Canis lupus familiaris: one gene and its partners. The protein of the gene in region 5 purifies or fractionates together with the protein of the main gene of each other region. This does not show direct contact. Links are inferred from orthologs where the notes say so. Each region holds a gene or a part of one and is shown on either strand. Other genes may lie near its edges. The genes, in order: PFDN6, PFDN2, VBP1, PFDN4 and MAPK7.

The links.
Region 1: the proteins of MAPK7 (region 5) and PFDN6 purify together in Homo sapiens (affinity purification with mass spectrometry; 3 studies listed by BioGRID and IntAct, with this or other methods). This does not show direct contact. The link is inferred for Canis lupus familiaris from reciprocal best matches to the Homo sapiens genes MAPK7 and PFDN6.
Region 2: the proteins of MAPK7 (region 5) and PFDN2 purify together in Homo sapiens (affinity purification with mass spectrometry; 3 studies listed by BioGRID and IntAct, with this or other methods). This does not show direct contact. The link is inferred for Canis lupus familiaris from reciprocal best matches to the Homo sapiens genes MAPK7 and PFDN2.
Region 3: the proteins of MAPK7 (region 5) and VBP1 purify together in Homo sapiens (affinity purification with mass spectrometry; 3 studies listed by BioGRID and IntAct, with this or other methods). This does not show direct contact. The link is inferred for Canis lupus familiaris from reciprocal best matches to the Homo sapiens genes MAPK7 and VBP1.
Region 4: the proteins of MAPK7 (region 5) and PFDN4 purify together in Homo sapiens (affinity purification with mass spectrometry; 3 studies listed by BioGRID and IntAct, with this or other methods). This does not show direct contact. The link is inferred for Canis lupus familiaris from reciprocal best matches to the Homo sapiens genes MAPK7 and PFDN4.

The regions. Positions count from the first base shown.
Region 1 is NC_049233.1:2,883,269-2,886,215, forward strand, and holds PFDN6 (prefoldin subunit 6), read left to right. Parts: upstream 1-1,134; 5' UTR 1,135-1,176; intron 1,177-1,321; 5' UTR 1,322-1,405; coding exon 1,406-1,469; intron 1,470-1,719; coding exon 1,720-1,790; intron 1,791-1,869; coding exon 1,870-1,994; intron 1,995-2,200; coding exon 2,201-2,330; 3' UTR 2,331-2,431; downstream 2,432-2,947. Other genes in the region: WDR46 (WD repeat-containing protein 46), read right to left, coding at 1-18, 163-243, 352-564, 666-734. UniProt on the Homo sapiens protein: Binds specifically to cytosolic chaperonin (c-CPN) and transfers target proteins to it. Binds to nascent polypeptide chain and promotes folding in an environment in which there are many competing pathways for nonnative proteins.
Region 2 is NC_049259.1:22,194,544-22,197,326, reverse strand, and holds the end of PFDN2 (prefoldin subunit 2), read right to left. Parts: intron 1,833-2,783; coding exon 1,744-1,832; intron 1,631-1,743; coding exon 1,507-1,630; intron 807-1,506; coding exon 630-806; 3' UTR 503-629; downstream 1-502. Other genes in the region: KLHDC9 (kelch domain-containing protein 9), read left to right, coding at 23-189. UniProt on the Homo sapiens protein: Binds specifically to cytosolic chaperonin (c-CPN) and transfers target proteins to it. Binds to nascent polypeptide chain and promotes folding in an environment in which there are many competing pathways for nonnative proteins.
Region 3 is NC_049260.1:124,321,897-124,326,082, reverse strand, and holds the start of VBP1 (prefoldin subunit 3), read right to left. Parts: upstream 2,815-4,186; 5' UTR 2,752-2,814; coding exon 2,659-2,751; intron 2,478-2,658; exon of another isoform or gene 2,424-2,477; coding exon of another isoform or gene 2,358-2,423; intron 1-2,357. UniProt on the Homo sapiens protein: Binds specifically to cytosolic chaperonin (c-CPN) and transfers target proteins to it. Binds to nascent polypeptide chain and promotes folding in an environment in which there are many competing pathways for nonnative proteins.
Region 4 is NC_049245.1:40,578,128-40,580,716, reverse strand, and holds part of PFDN4 (prefoldin subunit 4), read right to left. Parts: intron 1,666-2,589; coding exon 1,525-1,665; intron 1-1,524. UniProt on the Homo sapiens protein: Binds specifically to cytosolic chaperonin (c-CPN) and transfers target proteins to it. Binds to nascent polypeptide chain and promotes folding in an environment in which there are many competing pathways for nonnative proteins.
Region 5 is NC_049226.1:41,048,995-41,053,090, forward strand, and holds the start of MAPK7 (mitogen-activated protein kinase 7), read right to left. Parts: upstream 2,809-4,096; 5' UTR 2,618-2,808; intron 2,324-2,617; 5' UTR 2,319-2,323; coding exon 2,087-2,318; intron 1,463-2,086; coding exon 1,297-1,462; intron 692-1,296; coding exon 1-691. UniProt on the Homo sapiens protein: Plays a role in various cellular processes such as proliferation, differentiation and cell survival. The upstream activator of MAPK7 is the MAPK kinase MAP2K5.

The DNA of each region.
Region 1 (2,947 bases), on a different chromosome or scaffold from region 5:
CGACTTCGAATGTGGCAGCTATACCAGCGTTGGCAGGAGAGTAATGAAAAAAGAACCAGGTGTTATGTGGGGTGCCAGGAGAGTCACACAGTTCCTCTTCATCCAACTCACTCATATGCTCTCCCAAGCTGCAATCCCTCCTCACTCCCAGCTGGTCCTCACCTTTTTGGATTTGTCAATGCGACGGAACTTGCGAGCCACTTCCTCAGGGATGGGAGCAGGGCCTGGAAATGGATCCTGGGCCTGGGGAAGGAGGAAGCAATTAGCAGACAGGTTAGGGTTGACCCCAACCATCGCACCTGCAAAGTACAAGGCAACTTGCCCCACCACCTTATCAGGTCCCAGGCTCACCCCGGACAAATTTCTCTGAGGCTCAAGATTTCTCTGTTCTCGAGGTTTCTTCGGGAACTGAGGCTTCCCGGGGATCCGAGACTTTTTTGGGAGGTTAATGTTCTTTGGCCTCTGGGGGCGGAGCTCTCGATTCCTTTTCTTGTTACGAGGGGGCCCTGGAGAGGCTCCGGCAGCGGTCAGAGTGGCTTCCTTCTCCCAGTACCTCCGCGGTTTCTACGGGCAGATCACAAGCTCTAACACTCCATAGCCCTCGCCCCCCCACCCCCGGGACCCCGCAGCTAAAAATTTCCCTTCCACCCTAGCGAGGTCTCTACCTTCTTCTTGGTCTGAAGTCTGGCCTTCTTGGGCTGGACATCTCTGCCGGGTTTGGAGGCTGTTTCCATCTAGCCCACCGGAACGACGACCCACGTGCAAACTTCTCTCAGCTGTCCACAGACGGCTCGGAAACTCCCGGAAGCCCGCCGGCCCTCGTCCAATCAGTGCCTACCAGGTCTGAAGCCGTCTGAGCGCCATCTTGAATGAGGGCCCACTCTCTCTCGAGGGGCGGGGCAGGTCTTGGCTCCGCAATCCCGAGCAGCCGCTTATGCCCGAGTAATGAAAGAAAGGTAGTCTGGGGCTGGGGACAAAGTAACGGTGCAGTTTTTTTTTCCAGCTCCGTTTCCCTGTCTTGCCTAAAACCTCCCGGGTCCAGTTTTCTGGGGGAACACCGTTCACTAAACGTGCCAAAACTACAGTTCCCGGCATGCGTCAGAAGACAGCTTCCGGCGCCTTCTTTTCCCAGCATTCTTTGTTTACTTCCAGGTTTAGTAATAGTGAAGCGAGAACGTGAGTATGGCTGGGTTACGGTTGAGGGGCTTGGGGTCTTGCTGCGCCCGCCACCTCCTGGGGCCTGCGTGGAGGGCTCTCTGGGACGAGGAGAGGCTGTGGTGCCCTGGGAGGCTGCCTCGCAAGAGTGCTGTCCTTTCCGCAGGCCGGGCCAGAAAGGGGAGTTTAGGTACCTCCCAGAGTGAGACCCAGCGCCCGCTCCCACTCCCCGCGGGCCTTCGTCCCCGCCATGGCTGAGCTAATCCAGAAGAAGCTACAGGGAGAAGTGGAGAAATATCAGCAGCTACAGAAGGGTAAGGGAGCAGCGTCGGCGCGGCCTCGCCCCAGACCCTTCACTTACAGCCCAAAGCCAAACCAAGATAATATGTTGTGCCCCACTAGAGGCCCCGCGTGCAGCTCCTTCCCCATCTCGGAGCTCGTCCCCACCCACTGACCTGTTGCCGCCTCCTTGTCTACTTCCTCAGCTCCGTTTTCTTCTCACCAGGATTGGGGTTAGGCGGCACATGTGATGTGTTTAATCAACCCTTTCTTCCTAACCCCCAGACTTGAGTAAATCCATGTCGGGGAGACAGAAGCTTGAGGCGCAGCTAACAGAAAATAATATCGTGAAGGAGGTGAGAGAGGGATATGCCGGGCCAGAAGGGACCTGACCTGGAAGTGATTCTGATCTTGTATGTCCCATCCCTCCATCAGGAGCTGGCCCTGCTAGATGGATCCAACGTGGTCTTTAAACTTCTGGGTCCTGTGCTGGTCAAACAGGAGCTGGGAGAGGCTCGTGCCACAGTGGGGAAGAGGCTGGACTATATCACAGCTGAAATGTGAGTCTTTGTTCTGACACCCTGCAAGGCACCGGACGCCCCCAGCGTAGAATGTCGAGGAGCCGTTGGAGTAGTTCCAGGGTAGCCCTGTCTGATCTGCTTCCTCAAACCCTCCACGGGGAGTCCAGGAGAGTCCAACCCTTCAGCACCCTCAAGAGTAAATCCCATCAATTTCTCATTTGCTTGTCTCTCTTGCCTCTCTTCAGTAAGCGATACGAATCCCAGCTCCGGGACCTTGAGCGGCAGTCAGAGCAACAGAGGGAGACCCTGGCTCAGCTGCAGCAGGAGTTCCAGAGGGCCCAGGCAGCCAAGGCAGGGGCTTCTGGGAAGGCCTGACCCCATGGGGGGGGGAGGGAATGAGGCAGCTCAAGGGTCTATGCTGTAGCTAATAAAATGTGAAAACCCCTGGCTGTTTTCTGACCAGCCACTTCCTGTCATGATGGTCTCTTCCTTGGGCCCCTTCAACTTTATATATATGCCACCTGCATTACTCTGTTCGGTCCCAATTCTCGTGACTGGAATTGCCACAGAGTAATCCTCCTTTTTTCACTGAGACTAAAATCTGAAACGTCTCACACCTACTTGCCTATATACACTACGCTTGCCTTGGTTGGCATGCCCCTTAGGAAACATGAGAAGAGCATTTACCACGCAATGATCATTGGGAAGGCCAGTTTAACTACAGAGCTCACGGTAATCTAAACTGAGACCCCAGGGTGAAATGTGGTGACCCTCTTGCTATGCTTTCTTGTCATCCTCCAGAAAGCCCCAGCATCTTAGTCTCATTCTAGAATTTGTTTGAATGAAGTTTAGGCTGATTTAAAATCCCAGCATGGAACACTTTGTGATGTTGTAAGGCCCTCAAGTTTATACGTTATCCACAAAGTCATTCTTCCATTTCTTTGTCCTAAAATTGTTTCTTACAAATGTCCAACCACGGATTGTTCTTTAAT
Region 2 (2,783 bases), on a different chromosome or scaffold from region 5:
CACCCTCTCTCTTACCCAACAGGAAAGTCCCCTCCTCTGTGGTTTCACTTCCCCTGTGCAGACCGTGGGCTGAAACGTGTGGGCCACCGGACCTGCCTTTGGAACGATCAGCTTTACCTGGTTGGGGGCTTTGGTGAGGATGGCAGGACACCCAGTCCACAGGTTTGCATCCTGGACCTATTTATCTAAAGAATAGTGCCAAGACGCACTGTCACGCCTGTTTTGTTGCAGACTCATAAAGCATTGCCCCCAGACCTATCTGCCTCATTTCAAATGCTTATTAAATTTCAATCTGAGTCAACATTTGTTTGTGATTCTTTTTTGGGGGAGGGCAGTAAACAAGTAGACACATCTTTATTTGCAAGGGGAAGGATAAAATATGGGACCTCCTCTGATACTGTGAGCCATTAGCCTGATGGAACCAAGCCCCACAAGTCATAGGCTTTTCCATGCCTCATGCAGATCCCGCCCCTCATATTGGGAGAAAGCTTCAGGCTAGAGCTAAGCATTCTGACCAAAACATTTAATTAACAAAAAATATTACAATAGCAGAGAAAATAATAATAATAACAATAAAGAGAAATTAGAAGTGGGAGTCAGGGTAGAAAAAAATGCAAACACCTTGGTTCCTAGGAGACCAACACTCCAGCTGAGCTGGACTTAGCCCCAGCCCCTTCTGAGTTCTCCTTGGCTGCTGGCTTCTCATCTTCCCCCATGAGACGAATGTTGTGCTTTTCCCGGAATTCATTTAATTCTCTTCCTTTTGCCTGAAGCTGCTGTGTAAGGGTCTCAATGATCTTCTGTATCTAGAGGCCAAGCGACAGGGATTATATGAGGATTTCAGGACTCCCTTCCCCTACCTGGTATAGACTATGGCTGGAGGATGTGAAGGAGGGATGATACCTTTAGCCTCACCAAGTATTGATAGTGGAGTCCAAAGACTAAAAGTATGCCTTTCTCAAATACAATGATTTATGAACTACAATGTACACAAGAATCACTTGGGCTGTTTGTTTTTAAAATGCCACTCCATGGGCAGCTGGCACAGTTGGTAGAACATGCAACTCTTGGTTTCGGGGTTGTGGGTTCAAGCCCCACGTAGGGCACAGAGATTACTTAAAAGAAAAAAAAAAAAAAAAAAAAGGCCACTCTATAGGCCTTACCTCTAACTGTTCTGAATCAGTGGGTCCAGGAAACTGCATTTTAAATCAGTTCTCCAGGTGACCTGGATGCAAGTACCCATGGACCACACTGTGAGACACACTGCTCTCACTGCCGCCTCTCCCCCAAATCAGCCAGGCCACAGAGCGCAGGGAAAAAGGCGGACAGCCAGCAGCCTCTCCTGTCAGAGGAGTTCGACTTACTAAAGCATAAAAAGCATGGCTAACGGGCCTTTCATGCGGTCTTCGCCATGGGTTCCCACCCACTTGCTTATACCACGTTCCCTAAATCCTGGCCCCCCCTCCCCTTTGCTCCCAAAGCTTCTACTGGAGGACTCCTGCTCACCTGCTCCTTGTTGTTCTCCAGGGCAGGCAGCACCTCTTTGACAGTCCGCTCCACCAGCACGCCCCCAACCATTCGGTAGCACCTGCGGGCCTCATCGACCTCCTTCAAGGTGTCAATCACCAGGCTGCGGCACGGGGACAAGGCAGATCTGAGAATGCGGCCCCTCTCTGCTGCAGCCTTCCCTTACAAATGGCCTCTCCAACTTTCCTACTGACCGGTGCTCCCCGACCTCCTCACCTGTGCTCATTCAACTCCATCTCCAGCTCAGCTGCTTTGGATGCCAGACCCCGCTGCTCCTGCCGAAGACGGTTGAAGCCAGCGATAACCTTGGAAGATGAGAGTTAAGTGAGAGAGGAGACAGTGGACATGGCTGAGGCTCAAAAAACAACACAGGATGGCAAGCTCTGGATACCTACCTTGGAACAGGAGTAGGTCCAAGTCTGTAATTTCTACCTGTAGTCTGTCTGAAATTCCATTCACTAAACACTTACCGAGAGTCTATTCTGTGGGGGAACTTAACCAGTCCTTCTCGCAGCTTCTGTGTGGTGACGAATAGGCATTTATAATACAGGATGGGTGGGGAGCTCCTGGAGCACCTGCAGAGGAGCTCAGACTTGCAGGTAAAGAAGGCTCTAGGAAAAGGCTTTGTAGGGAGTACTCTCGTTTGGCTCTACCCAGCATTCCTCCCACAGGGGAACTGCCTTCCTTAGCTCAGGGGGTGCTTGTGGGGCTACTATTCACAGGACCCTTGCTCCCTGACCACAGGGGCAGTCCACAGGGGCAGTGACCTATTCTGCACCAGAGTGTCTGTTCAGGAACTGACTCTGGGGTAGAGACAAACAGGTACAGAGACAGCTGGAGTGAAGACAACTAGATGTCCTATAGAGATGATCCTCCATCCCTCTCTTTTTTTTTTTTTTTTTTAATTTTTATTTATTTATGATAGTCACAGAGAGAGAGAGAGAGAGAGGCAGAGACACAGGCAGAGGGAGAAGCAGGCTCCATGCACCGGGAGCCCGATGTGGGATTCGATCCCGGGTCTCCAGGATCGCGCCCTGGGCCAAAGGCAGGCGCCAAACCGCTGCGCCACCCAGGGATCCCCCATCCCTCTCTTGAAACCCTCAAAGCTGCCCTAGTTCTTGAACTTTTTATTTTTATTGTTTTTATTTTTTTTTATTTATTTTATTTATTTTTTATTTTTTTAATTTTTATTTATTTATGATAGTCACAGAGAGAGAGAGAGGCAGAGACACAGGCAGAGGGAGAAGCAGGCTCCA
Region 3 (4,186 bases), on a different chromosome or scaffold from region 5:
TAGTAAAGGCACAGAGGACTGGTCTACCATGGCGGGTGGTAGGAAGGCATGCACACAGTGCTTCAAGAAATATCAGCACATAGAATGCAGCAATAATCAAATCATAGGAACATTAGATCGTACTACAAGGGTGTAAGGGCACTATTCAACTGCAAGAAATCTGTCAATCATCATATTAAATCATCCATCTGTCAATCAACATATTAAAAGAATAAAATTTAGATCATAAAAGATGCTGAAGTAATCTGTAATAAAAAGTTTTACGGCAGGGCGCCTGGGTGGCTCAGTCAGTTAAGTAGCTAACTCTGGATTTCTGTTCGGGTCATCTCAGGTCATGGGATAGAGCCCCAAGTCAGGCTCCCCGCTCCACAGGGGGTCCCCACGGTTGTCTCTCTCACTCTCTCTGCCCCTCCGGCTCACACACACACACACACACACACACACACTCTCTCTCTCTCTCTCTCTAAAATAAATACATCTGTTTAAAAAGTTTTATGGCTAATTCGAATAGAAGTAACAAAGGCAAAAACAAACAAACAGCAAACATTCTGAATAACAAAATATTAAGATTTCAGGTAAATCACAGAGTAGAGAGGAATGCTCGCTTTCATGACTAATATTTAACATTTTCTTGCATTTTCTAATAAATTCAATAAGCTAAAGAACAATAGGCTGTTAACAGCGGAAAAGAGCTATATTCTGTCTCATTTTAGGTAAAATTCAATACTCATATAGACTCTACTGTAAAATAACTAGAATTACTAGAATTTTTTATAATATTTTACTTATTTACTCATGAGAGACACAGAGAGAGAGGCAGAGACACAGGCAGAGGGAGAAGCAGGCTCCGTGCAGGGAGAGCCACACCAGATTCGATCCCAGGACCCTGCGGTCACGCCCTGAGCCAAAGGCAGAGACTCAACCACTGAGCCACCCGGGCGTCCCAATGAGGTCTGACTTTTAACCAGTAAAGTATATGACCTCCTATCATCACAGGAATTAATATATATCAAGTATCTACTTGTTATACTGAAAGCACATATTGCTTCTCGTAGCAATTCTTTAAATACTGTCATCCTTTTTCCATGAAAATAACAGAGGCTCAAAGTGGTAAAACAACATGCCCAAGACCAAGCAGCGATCGGGAAGTAGAGGCAGGATTCAAACCCTGGTCTATTAAGAAGCCAAAGTTCTTTCTCCAATACCATGTTATTCACATTACATAAAGTTTGGCTTGCTAAGACATCATACCGTGTTGGTAGAAATTTTAATGTCTAGAAAAAATAACCCACAGCTATTTTAGAGGGAAAGGCATTTTAAGATAAGAGTTTATAAAACCTCAGATACAGTGTATGCTCCTGAATTAGATTTTTGAAGCCATCTGTAGCCAAGGACCCAGAACATACTATATACAGCACTCTAGAAATTGAATTCAACATCTAGTCGTGAGCTTTTACTACGTATCCCTGTGTCGCCCGAGGACCAGGAGAAGCAGCCCTGAGCCAACATGAGTACCTCGCTTTCCTCCCACTCGCAGAACACGTAAGTAGGGGCTCTGATATTCCACGGACTGCTCCAGTTCGAATCCCTGGAGAACCTGCTTACACACTCCATGACTTGGGACCGAGTGAGTCGAGTCCCTCCGCTTCATCACCCATAATAATACCCATCTCGTCGCTTTTTGTAAAAGCACTAAGAAAGTGCCCGGCACTCAGCAAAATTTTCCTCATTACCATTAGCTGGGAAATGAATGCAAACAAATAAATGGCACAGCTCACGGAGGAAACACAAAATAACAAAGGAAAAGAACCACAAAACTGAATCGGCAAAGGCACACGTGCAAAGCAGACTGTAGATGCAAGTGGTCTAAATAAAGAATAAAAGAAATGGATATCTTGAACGTCGGAACGTATCACCAACCAAAAAGGGAATACAAGGCAATATAGATACAAGCCAAAGGTCGAGAAAATTCCGTTAATACTGTATAGTGGAGGTCGGTCAGAACCGAGTGAGGAAAGACAGATGCTACTGCCCTGAAGGCCAGTCGGGTTTTCCTTCCTTATTCAAACAGCTGTGAAACACTCTTTCCAGAACAGCCTAACGGAAAGACACTGTCTAGGCTGTGTCCCCGCTCCCAAGCGCACACCAAGCGCTCCGCACGGTTGTTAGAACGATGCGCGCTAAGCGAACCTGACCACACCGCGCCACCTTACAGCGACAGCCCGCCGGCCGCCGGATGAACTCGATTCCCAGCAGGACACGCGAGGCCTTCACGCGTGACCCCGTCCTCCCTTCGCCGCCCCCCTTGCGGCCCCGCAGCCCCGCGGCGGACTGGCTGGGATTCCGCGTCAGCACACCTGAGCGCCAGCCCCCGCGTCCTCACCGCACCCTAAGCCCCGGGCAACCGCCGGGCACTCCGGCATCCTGGCTCAAGTCCCTCCCGGCTTCTCGCCGCCCCCCGCTCTGCCTTCCCAAGCAGCGGAGGCCGAAACCCGCCGTCCGGGGGGCGGCCCGTCAGAGCGGTGCGCTGCACCATCCTCCCTCCCGCATCCACTACCCCAACTCCTCCCCCAGTGGCCGAGGCCGGGATGGAGGCCGGGAAGGAAGGGGGAGCCCGCGGCCTAGCGTCAAGACGCCGAGGACCAGCGTGCCTCTTACCACAAACACGGCCTCCGGAATCCCCAGGTGGAGCCGCCGCCCATTCCCCGTGGCCACTTCTCCCAAGCCACAACCGTCCTTAGCGGTCGCCATCTTGGAGAAGCGAGCGCACGCCTAATGGCCTTGCGAGCCTCCGGCACTGCTGGCCCCTGATTGGCTCGCTGGCAGCCGCCGGCCCGCCCCCGCGCCTGCGCGATCGGCGCGTTCACAGGCGCGCCGGAAGTAGCCGCCCCTTCTAGCTGCGACGACTCGCCAGCCTTTGGGCGCTGATTGGCTGCGCACGATGAGTGACGAGCCAGGAAGCGCCGCGAGGAGACGCTGGCTGTGCGGGAAGAACCAATGCGGCCTCCGGGGAGGATCCGTGGCTCCGAGGGCGGGCTTGCGGACCCTGGGAAGAGACCTGAGCACCACCCGGGAACGGGCAGCGCCTTCCAGAATGACCCCAGAAGCGACCCCAGCCCCAAGCAGCTACTAGTGAGTCTGCGACCTAGAGGACAAGGCGGGGCCGTGCTCTTGGTGTCTTTCTGGTCCCACCATCCCGACGAGCATCCCGGCTGTCAGAGGGTCCGTTTCGGAGTGGAGCCACTGGCCCGAGTTTAATACCCCGCCCACTGCACCAGCCTTTCCCGAAAGCCACCCTTGACCAGCATGTTGCCACCCCAATTCAGACGTCTCACGACTCTATTCTACATAGAGGAGCCTAAGGACCCTTGTGAGGCTTCCAGCCTGACGGACGGCCCCAACACCGCCCGCCACCACGACCCTTTGAAAGCAAGTGCGCTACACACTCCTACGTACTTAGGCTCTGGTGTCTTTTCCAACAACTAACCACCCCGTTCCTCCCGCCTCTGCTTGCTCTCAGGGCTTCGCTGTGAAGCGCTGCTGCATCCGCTCGCACAAACCCTACCCAGGCAGCCCGATTATGAATAAAGGATGTTAGTTCCCTTACTCAGTGGGGATACGTATGTAGTAATAATCGTGATTGACATGTCTTAAAATCTACCTATGTGCCAGCCACTGAGTCATGCTATCTAATCCCCGCAAGCTCTGGCTGAGAGGGACTATTATCACCCATAGTTTACACACAACTAAAGAATCTTAGGGATCCCTGGGTGGCGCAGCGGTTTGGCGCCTGCCTTTGGCCTAGGGAGCGATCCTGGAGACCCGGGATCGATTCCCACATCGGGCTCCCGGTGCATGGAGCCCGCTTCTCTCTGCCTGTGTCTCTGCCTCGCTTTCTCTCTCTGTGACTATCATAAATAAATAAAAAATTAAAAAAAAAAAGAATCTTAAAAATGAGCCATTTGTGTGGTGCCGGGGTGGCTCAGTCGTTAAGCGTGAGACTTGATTTCAAGCTCAGGTCGTGATTTCAGGGTGGTGGGATGGAGCCTCCCCACAGGCTCCACGGTGGGCTCAGAGCTGGGCTGCAGCCGGCCTGACATTCTGTCTCCCTCTCCCTCTGACCTTCCACCCTCTAAAAAAATGAACCATTTGTAAGATAATAGGATTACTGTCATAAGAGTCACAT
Region 4 (2,589 bases), on a different chromosome or scaffold from region 5:
CGGGGTTCATGGCAGAACCTGATACAGAGTAAGCACTCAACAAACACTTCTGGAATGAATGGATAAATGAATGAACAACAGAATAAAGGTTCACTGTCTGTGTGGGGTACAGGGAGGGAAGTGCGTTCACAGCAGTGACAAAAACTATAACCTATATTCCACAAGAGTATCTGAGGATGGTGGGAAAAAAAAAGAACAAAACTATAAAATTTTACCGTGAAAGAAAAAGGTTTTATACATAAGGGAAAACACCAATGTTTCTGCATAGAAAGATTCAGGAATAGAAATGTTAGTTCTTCCCAAGGCTTATTAAACATGAGTTTAATTCAGAGGAATTTTTGCTTTCCAGGACATTTGAAGAACAGAGACTAATATTTTAAATAATATTCATATTAATTAAGCAAACTTCAAAAGAATGAGAAAATGTTTGATAGCTACCAGTCTTAAGTGCACGTGACTGCTCCTCTCACAGACAGCTGGAGGGCGTGTGAATTGGAAACTAATTTCATACCATGTCTCAAATGCCTCAAATTTTGTCCATAAATCCATACTCTGACCAGTAATGACACCTGCCTGATTATTTCCTAAAAGAATCCTAAACGTGAAAAAGACTTGAGTGTAAGAATGTTCACTACAACATTACTGTAGGAAAATACTGGGAACCAATTCATGTTAACACCAGGAGGGCAGTGAACTGAATCAGTGTCCACCCGCATGATGTGAGACAGTCATCAGAAATGTTTTCAAAGCACGTGGGGATCCCTGGGTGGCGCAGTGGTTTGGCGCCTGCCTTTGGCCCAGGGCGCGATCCTGGAGACCCGGGATCGAATCCCACATCAGGCTCCCAGTGCATGGAGCCTGCTTCTCCCTCTGCCTGTGTCTCTGCCTCTCTCTCTCTCTCTCTCTCTCTGTGACTATCATAAAAAAAAAAAAAAAAAAAAAAAAAAAAAAGCACGTGTGCTTGGCCCTGAGCAGGCCCTCAGTGAAGATGTGCTGGACAAATGAACACTAAATAGAATGAGAAAGTACTTCTGGTAGAATGTTAACTGACCAAAATGTGAAGTAAACTTACGCAGAGAAAAGAGTAGATGAAAACATAAGAACCAATGAAAATGTCCACTATGGGTGCTTATCTCTGGGTAGTAGGATTATAGGTGATTTTTGTCTTCTACCCCGTAATATTCTATAGTTTCCACACAGTGAGTTTAGAGCATGGGTTCTGGGGTCAAAAGGCTACCTAGGCCCTCCATGTCACTTTGAGTAAGTCCCATGACCTTTCTCAGCCCCGACCTTCAATTCTAAGTTGGGACGAAGGCTCTGCATCTCCCAGAGCCCTTGTTGGGATTACGTAAGATCATGCCTCCAAGGCTTTCATTTCATGGCATGCCCGGGATGTTGTAAAAACCCATGCAGTATCACCTAGGCCCCGTTATTTCCCTACACCTAGAATTAACGTGTTCTTCATAACAACACACACCCTAAAGGAAGTCAGCCTCCCTCACCCAGGGAAAGACTCCAGCATACCTTTGCTTCTTCTAACATTTCCTGTGTCTCTTCTTGAGAATGGCTAATGAAAACATCACCAATTTGATAAGGTATCATTAAGCAATCATCATCTGCAAGCATGATGTCCTCACAAGCATCTTCTAAATTCTGGAGTTGTTTCTAGAAACACAAAAGTAAATGGCAATGAAAAGCACACTCATAATTAAAATTCCCTGACGGAGGTGAAGAGCCAACTTTAATCTGGGGACACCAACTCTGTGAGAGACCCTTTCACAAAGGTATCACCACACTCACATAAGACTTTCTTACATTTCTCCATGGCATTTCCTAGGGAAGCGCTTAAAAGCTAACTCACTGCCTCTAGCTGTTTCCAGAATGCTAAAAGCATCTGTGGGGGACGGCGGGCATCTGTGGCCACGCAAAATGTGTCCTACTCCGCCAATTTCCACCTAGTGAGTTCTGCCTCCTGTGGTAGAATGAAAACAGTGCAAACCTCCATTTCTCAGCCTTGCTCGATGAGAGGATGAAGGTAGCTATGAACCCACATTCCACCAGTCAACTGGCCTTGAACTGGAGCTCAGCTCGGAGGAGCACATAGGAGCTGCTGAGCACAGGCCCGAGTTGGGAGTGGGCAGAGGCTGGGGCGAGGGCCGGGGGTGCCACCCAGCACTCCCAGGTCTGCAGCGCAGCTTCCCGTGCTGGAGGACGCGGCTGGCTCTGGGATCACTGGAAACAATAGCAGCTCCAGCACCAGCCATGTTCTCAGGAGACGCGGTTCTGGGGTCTGCTCCTGGAGCGCCAGCCCAGGCTCACCCCCTCAACACTCTGGAAGTTCTCACACATCCCTTAAGCAAGGTCTTTTTTTCTTCAACTAACTAGAGTGGGTTATGTCAGATGCAACAACGGGCCCAGAGAAATAGAATCATGTATTACTGAATTCAGTTTTAAAAAGCTATAGCAGAAGCACTTGGGTGGTTCAGTGGGTTAAGTATCAGACTCTTGATTTCAGCTAAGGTCGTGATCTTGGGGTTGTGGGATCAAAAGCCACATTGGGCTCCATGCTGGGCGTGGAACCTGCTTAGG
Region 5 (4,096 bases):
AAAAGGTGGGGCACAGTCAGGCTCATCATCAGGGTCATGGTACTTGGCCAGGAAGGGGTGGCGAAGGGCAGCAGCTGCAGAGATGCGGGCGCTAGGCTCGAAACGCAACATGCGTCCCAGCAGTGACAGGGCCTGGCGGTCGGCGCCTGGATACACTGTCTCCCAGGGCACAGCCTGACGTGGTGGCAGGCTCTGGATGTAGGCCCGCACTCTCTCAGCCCCCACAGCCTGGATTACAGCTGGCGACGGGGTACCCAGCACCATCATGATCAGCTGCAGCTGGTGTACATAATTTTTGCCTGGGAAGAGCTGGCGCCGGGCTAGCATCTCACCAAAGATGCAGCCCACAGACCACAGGTCGATAGCCTGTGTGTACTCGTGCAGTGAGAGCATGAGCTCAGGAGCACGGTACCAGCGTGTGGCCACATACTCAGTCATGAAGTACTGGTGTTCAGCAGGCGAGGTGCACAGGCCACGGGCCATGCCAAAGTCGCCAATCTTGAGCTCACAATTCTCATTCACCAACAGGTTGGAGGGCTTGAGGTCGCGGTGGATGACCTGAGCCGAGTGCATGTACTTGAGGCCCCGAAGCAGCTGATACAGGAAGTAGCGCACGTGCTCCAGAGTGAGTGGCTGGGAGGAGTGGATGATCTGGTGCAGGTCACTCTCCATCAGGTCCAGGACCACATAGCTAGAGGGGACAAGAAAGATAAGCATGGCTACCTCGCCCACACTCCAGCCTCACTCCAGCCTCCCGGCTCGACAGGTAATAGCCTCATCTTCACGTGCCGCAGGGGCCAATGGGATGGTATGAAGATTCTAGATTTTCTCTAATGTTTCCATGAAGTTAGGTCACTCTTCTCTCTAGATCTAGTTTCCCCATCAAAGAAAAGATGGGGTTGGACTAAACCAGGGCTGGCCAATAAGTTTAGTTTGGAGGCCATCTCCATTGTTTGGTATAGCTGCCTGAAAGACTCTGAAAACTGTGAAGGCTTACCCATTTTTTTGAAGAAAATGCTCTATGATTGACTAGCAATATCTGCTATGAGAGTAGAAGAGTGCAGTTACTATATGAACATCTTATATTGGTTCTACCTACCAAGATTCTATAAAACAGTAACCACCGGTAACCACCTGCACTCTTCTTGAGCAACTGCAGCTGTCCCCAGCAAAGCCCTAAGGGACACTGGTCCTGGAATAATGGGAACTTTCCCAGCCTGCCTTACATTAGGTTCAGTTGCCCTTTGAAAACTTCAGATCCCACCTCTGCCTTCCTCTTCCGTCCCTGCTCCTTACACAGATTTGAACTCCCCATAGGGCACAGTGGGCCTCAAGATGTCCTTGATGGCGATGATGTTGTCGTGCTTGAAGTGTTTGAGAATCTTCAGCTCCCTGAGGGTCCGCTTGGCATTGGTGACCACGTCAAAAGCATTAGGGATCTTCTTAATGGCCACCTGCTGGCCTGGGGAGCAGGGAAAAGGCAGATACCATGAGGTACCTTAGAGTAGCTGCAGATTGGCAAAAGGCCCCTTTCAACATCTTCCTTCTAGAAGGCTGTTACCATATACTGAATAGCAAGAACCTACTACATGCCAAGGCCTGCACTAAGCACCTTACGGATGTTATCAGATTTTCCCTTCACATCTATCCTGAGATGGATACCAACGGCTCAAAGCTGAAAATGATGAAAACCTGGCTCAGCAACTTGTTGGAGTTAGTGGTAGGCTCGATTCTAATGCCTGTGCTCAACTACCTCCCTACACTCTGTCCATCTCAGACCTTACCCATCCCACCACCAATTCCTTACACCAGTCTCTGGCTCCAAAGACTTTTAGAAACCAAAGACAGGATCTGCATTCTGGTCTGAGATTGCCACTCTTCTAAAGAAATAGGCAAAACCACCATAGCAGTTTCAGAGAACCGAGCCCAACACAGACCCCGGCATCCAGGAGGCACCTAACCGGTATCTGCTGACTTGATCCAGAATTTGGATCCCAGCTTTCCTTCCGGGCTGAGACGGGGCAGGTTTCTCACTCTCTGGGGCCCGCTTCCACATCTGTAAGCGGTGCACAACGGGGAAGCTCACCGGTGAGACGGCGGCGCGCGGAGGACACCACCCCATAGGCCCCGTTGCCTATGGTCTCGATGATCTCGTACTCGTCCCCCACGTCGAAGGTCACATCGAAGGAGCGGGCTTTGAGCAGGGCCAGGTTCTTGGCCGCTACACAGGCAGCGTTGTTGGTGGGTTCCGCCTTCACCGGCCCGGGGGGCTCCCCAGAACCGTCGTCGCCCTCTTCCTCCTTCAGGGGTTCAGCCATGGCGTCTGTGTGGAGACGCTGGTGAGGAGGGGCCCGCCGCCCGCTCCCTGGCCTCAGTTTCCCATCTGGGAGGCTGGGGAGCAGGACCAGGGAATTTCCAAGTTCCCTCAGCCAGCGGGGGCCAGGTAGGGAGCGAAAGAGAGCGGCTGGCACGTAGTAGTCGTCCCACACCCGGACTTGGAACCCAGAGCTCAGGTCCAGGGTGGAATGCAGGGTGGGAGGTGGGGGAGGCGCCGCCAGGCGCGGTCCAGGAAGAAAGGGAGGGGCGGGGCACTTCGCTTTTCTCGGTCAACACTCACCGAATGGCACCTCACTCCGACGCGTCCTCCCGGCCTTCGGAGGTCGCCGGCGCTCCCTGCGTCCCCGGGCTCCCGTTCCCCGTGGAGGGATACTCCGAGAGTCGCTCGCTCACTTGTTCAAGGCCGCCGCCACCACCTCAGCGCCGCGCTCTGCCCCGCCGGTCCCCCCGCCCCGCCTCCCAAGATCACGCTCCCTCCAGCCCCTGGCCAATCGCTGGGCGCTCTCTGCGGAGGTTCCCACCCCTCCGACTTGCTGCGTCCAATCCGAGGCCACCTGCAGAGGAAACCACGCCCCCGCGCGCGCCCGCCCGCGCGCGCGCCCGCCGCTGTCCAGCTTGCCCGCAGGAGCCGCCCAAAGGGCGCTCGGCGCTTCGCAGGCTCCCCGCCCGGCTCAGTCTTCTGACGCATGCGCGCTAGCAGCCCCGGGCGCCGCGCTAATGGAAGGCAACGCCCCCGTGCGTGCGTGCGCACCGCCATCCGCGGGGTTGACTGCGGCAGGTCCCGGGGCTGCGGCGGCGCTCCGGCGCGTGGGTCTGTTACCTCGTCGGCCGGCTCAAGAAATCCCCCTCGTTGAGGCCCCTGCTCCCCTGTCAGTCCTCATCGCCCGAGGAATTATGCACCACCTCCTCATTTTCCCCATCGGTCCCGGGAGCTCCGGGAAGGCGCCACCCAGAGTAGAGAGTGATCGGACGCATCCAACCACAGAGACCCTGGGCCTCCGGGATTCTAGAGCGCCCGGCCTGAAGCCGCCACTGACTTCCGGCGGCTGAGCTTCCGGCGGCCGGGGCCTCTGCTCGGGTTTTCCCGGCCTCCGCCGTGGTCCCTCCGCTGGGTGGCTCCGTCGCAGGGCTCCCGCGCCGCGGGCTGCTGCCGAGCTCAGGGGGACAGCGGGCGGGGCGTCCGGCCTCTACCCCTGCGCGGGGTCCAGGTGCCCGCCCCGCTCCACGGCCCGGTGGCTGATTGGTAGAGCCTTCCCTGAGAAGGCAGCGGCGACTTCGGGGCGGGGCCGTCCGAACCTTTGCGCGGAGGCAAGGTTTGCAGCGGGGAGCTCCAGGTGGTGCAGTGAGGAGCAGCCTTTTGGAGCAAAGGGGGTGGTGCCGCCACGTGAGAAGAAAGCTGGGGAGTCGAGGCGAAGGTACGGAGACTGCGAAGCAGAGGAACGGGGGCTCGGGGCTCTTCCTTGGCCCCGAGTAGTGCTCGGTGGGTAGAGACTCTGAGTGCCAGGTCCAGGGTCTGTTCCTTAACATCACGGACTAGAGGCTGAAAAGTGGGTCCAGACCAGAAATGAATTTTGGCAAGCCTAGAGACTTTTAAAAAATCTTTGTTTTGGGGACGCCTGGATGGCTCAGTGGTTGAGCGTCTGCCTTCCGCTCAGGTCGTGACCCCGAGGTCCTGGGATCGAGTCCCGCATCGTGCTCCCTGCATGGAGCCTGCTTCACCCTCTGCCTGTGTCTCTGCCTCTCTCTTCTCTATGTCTCT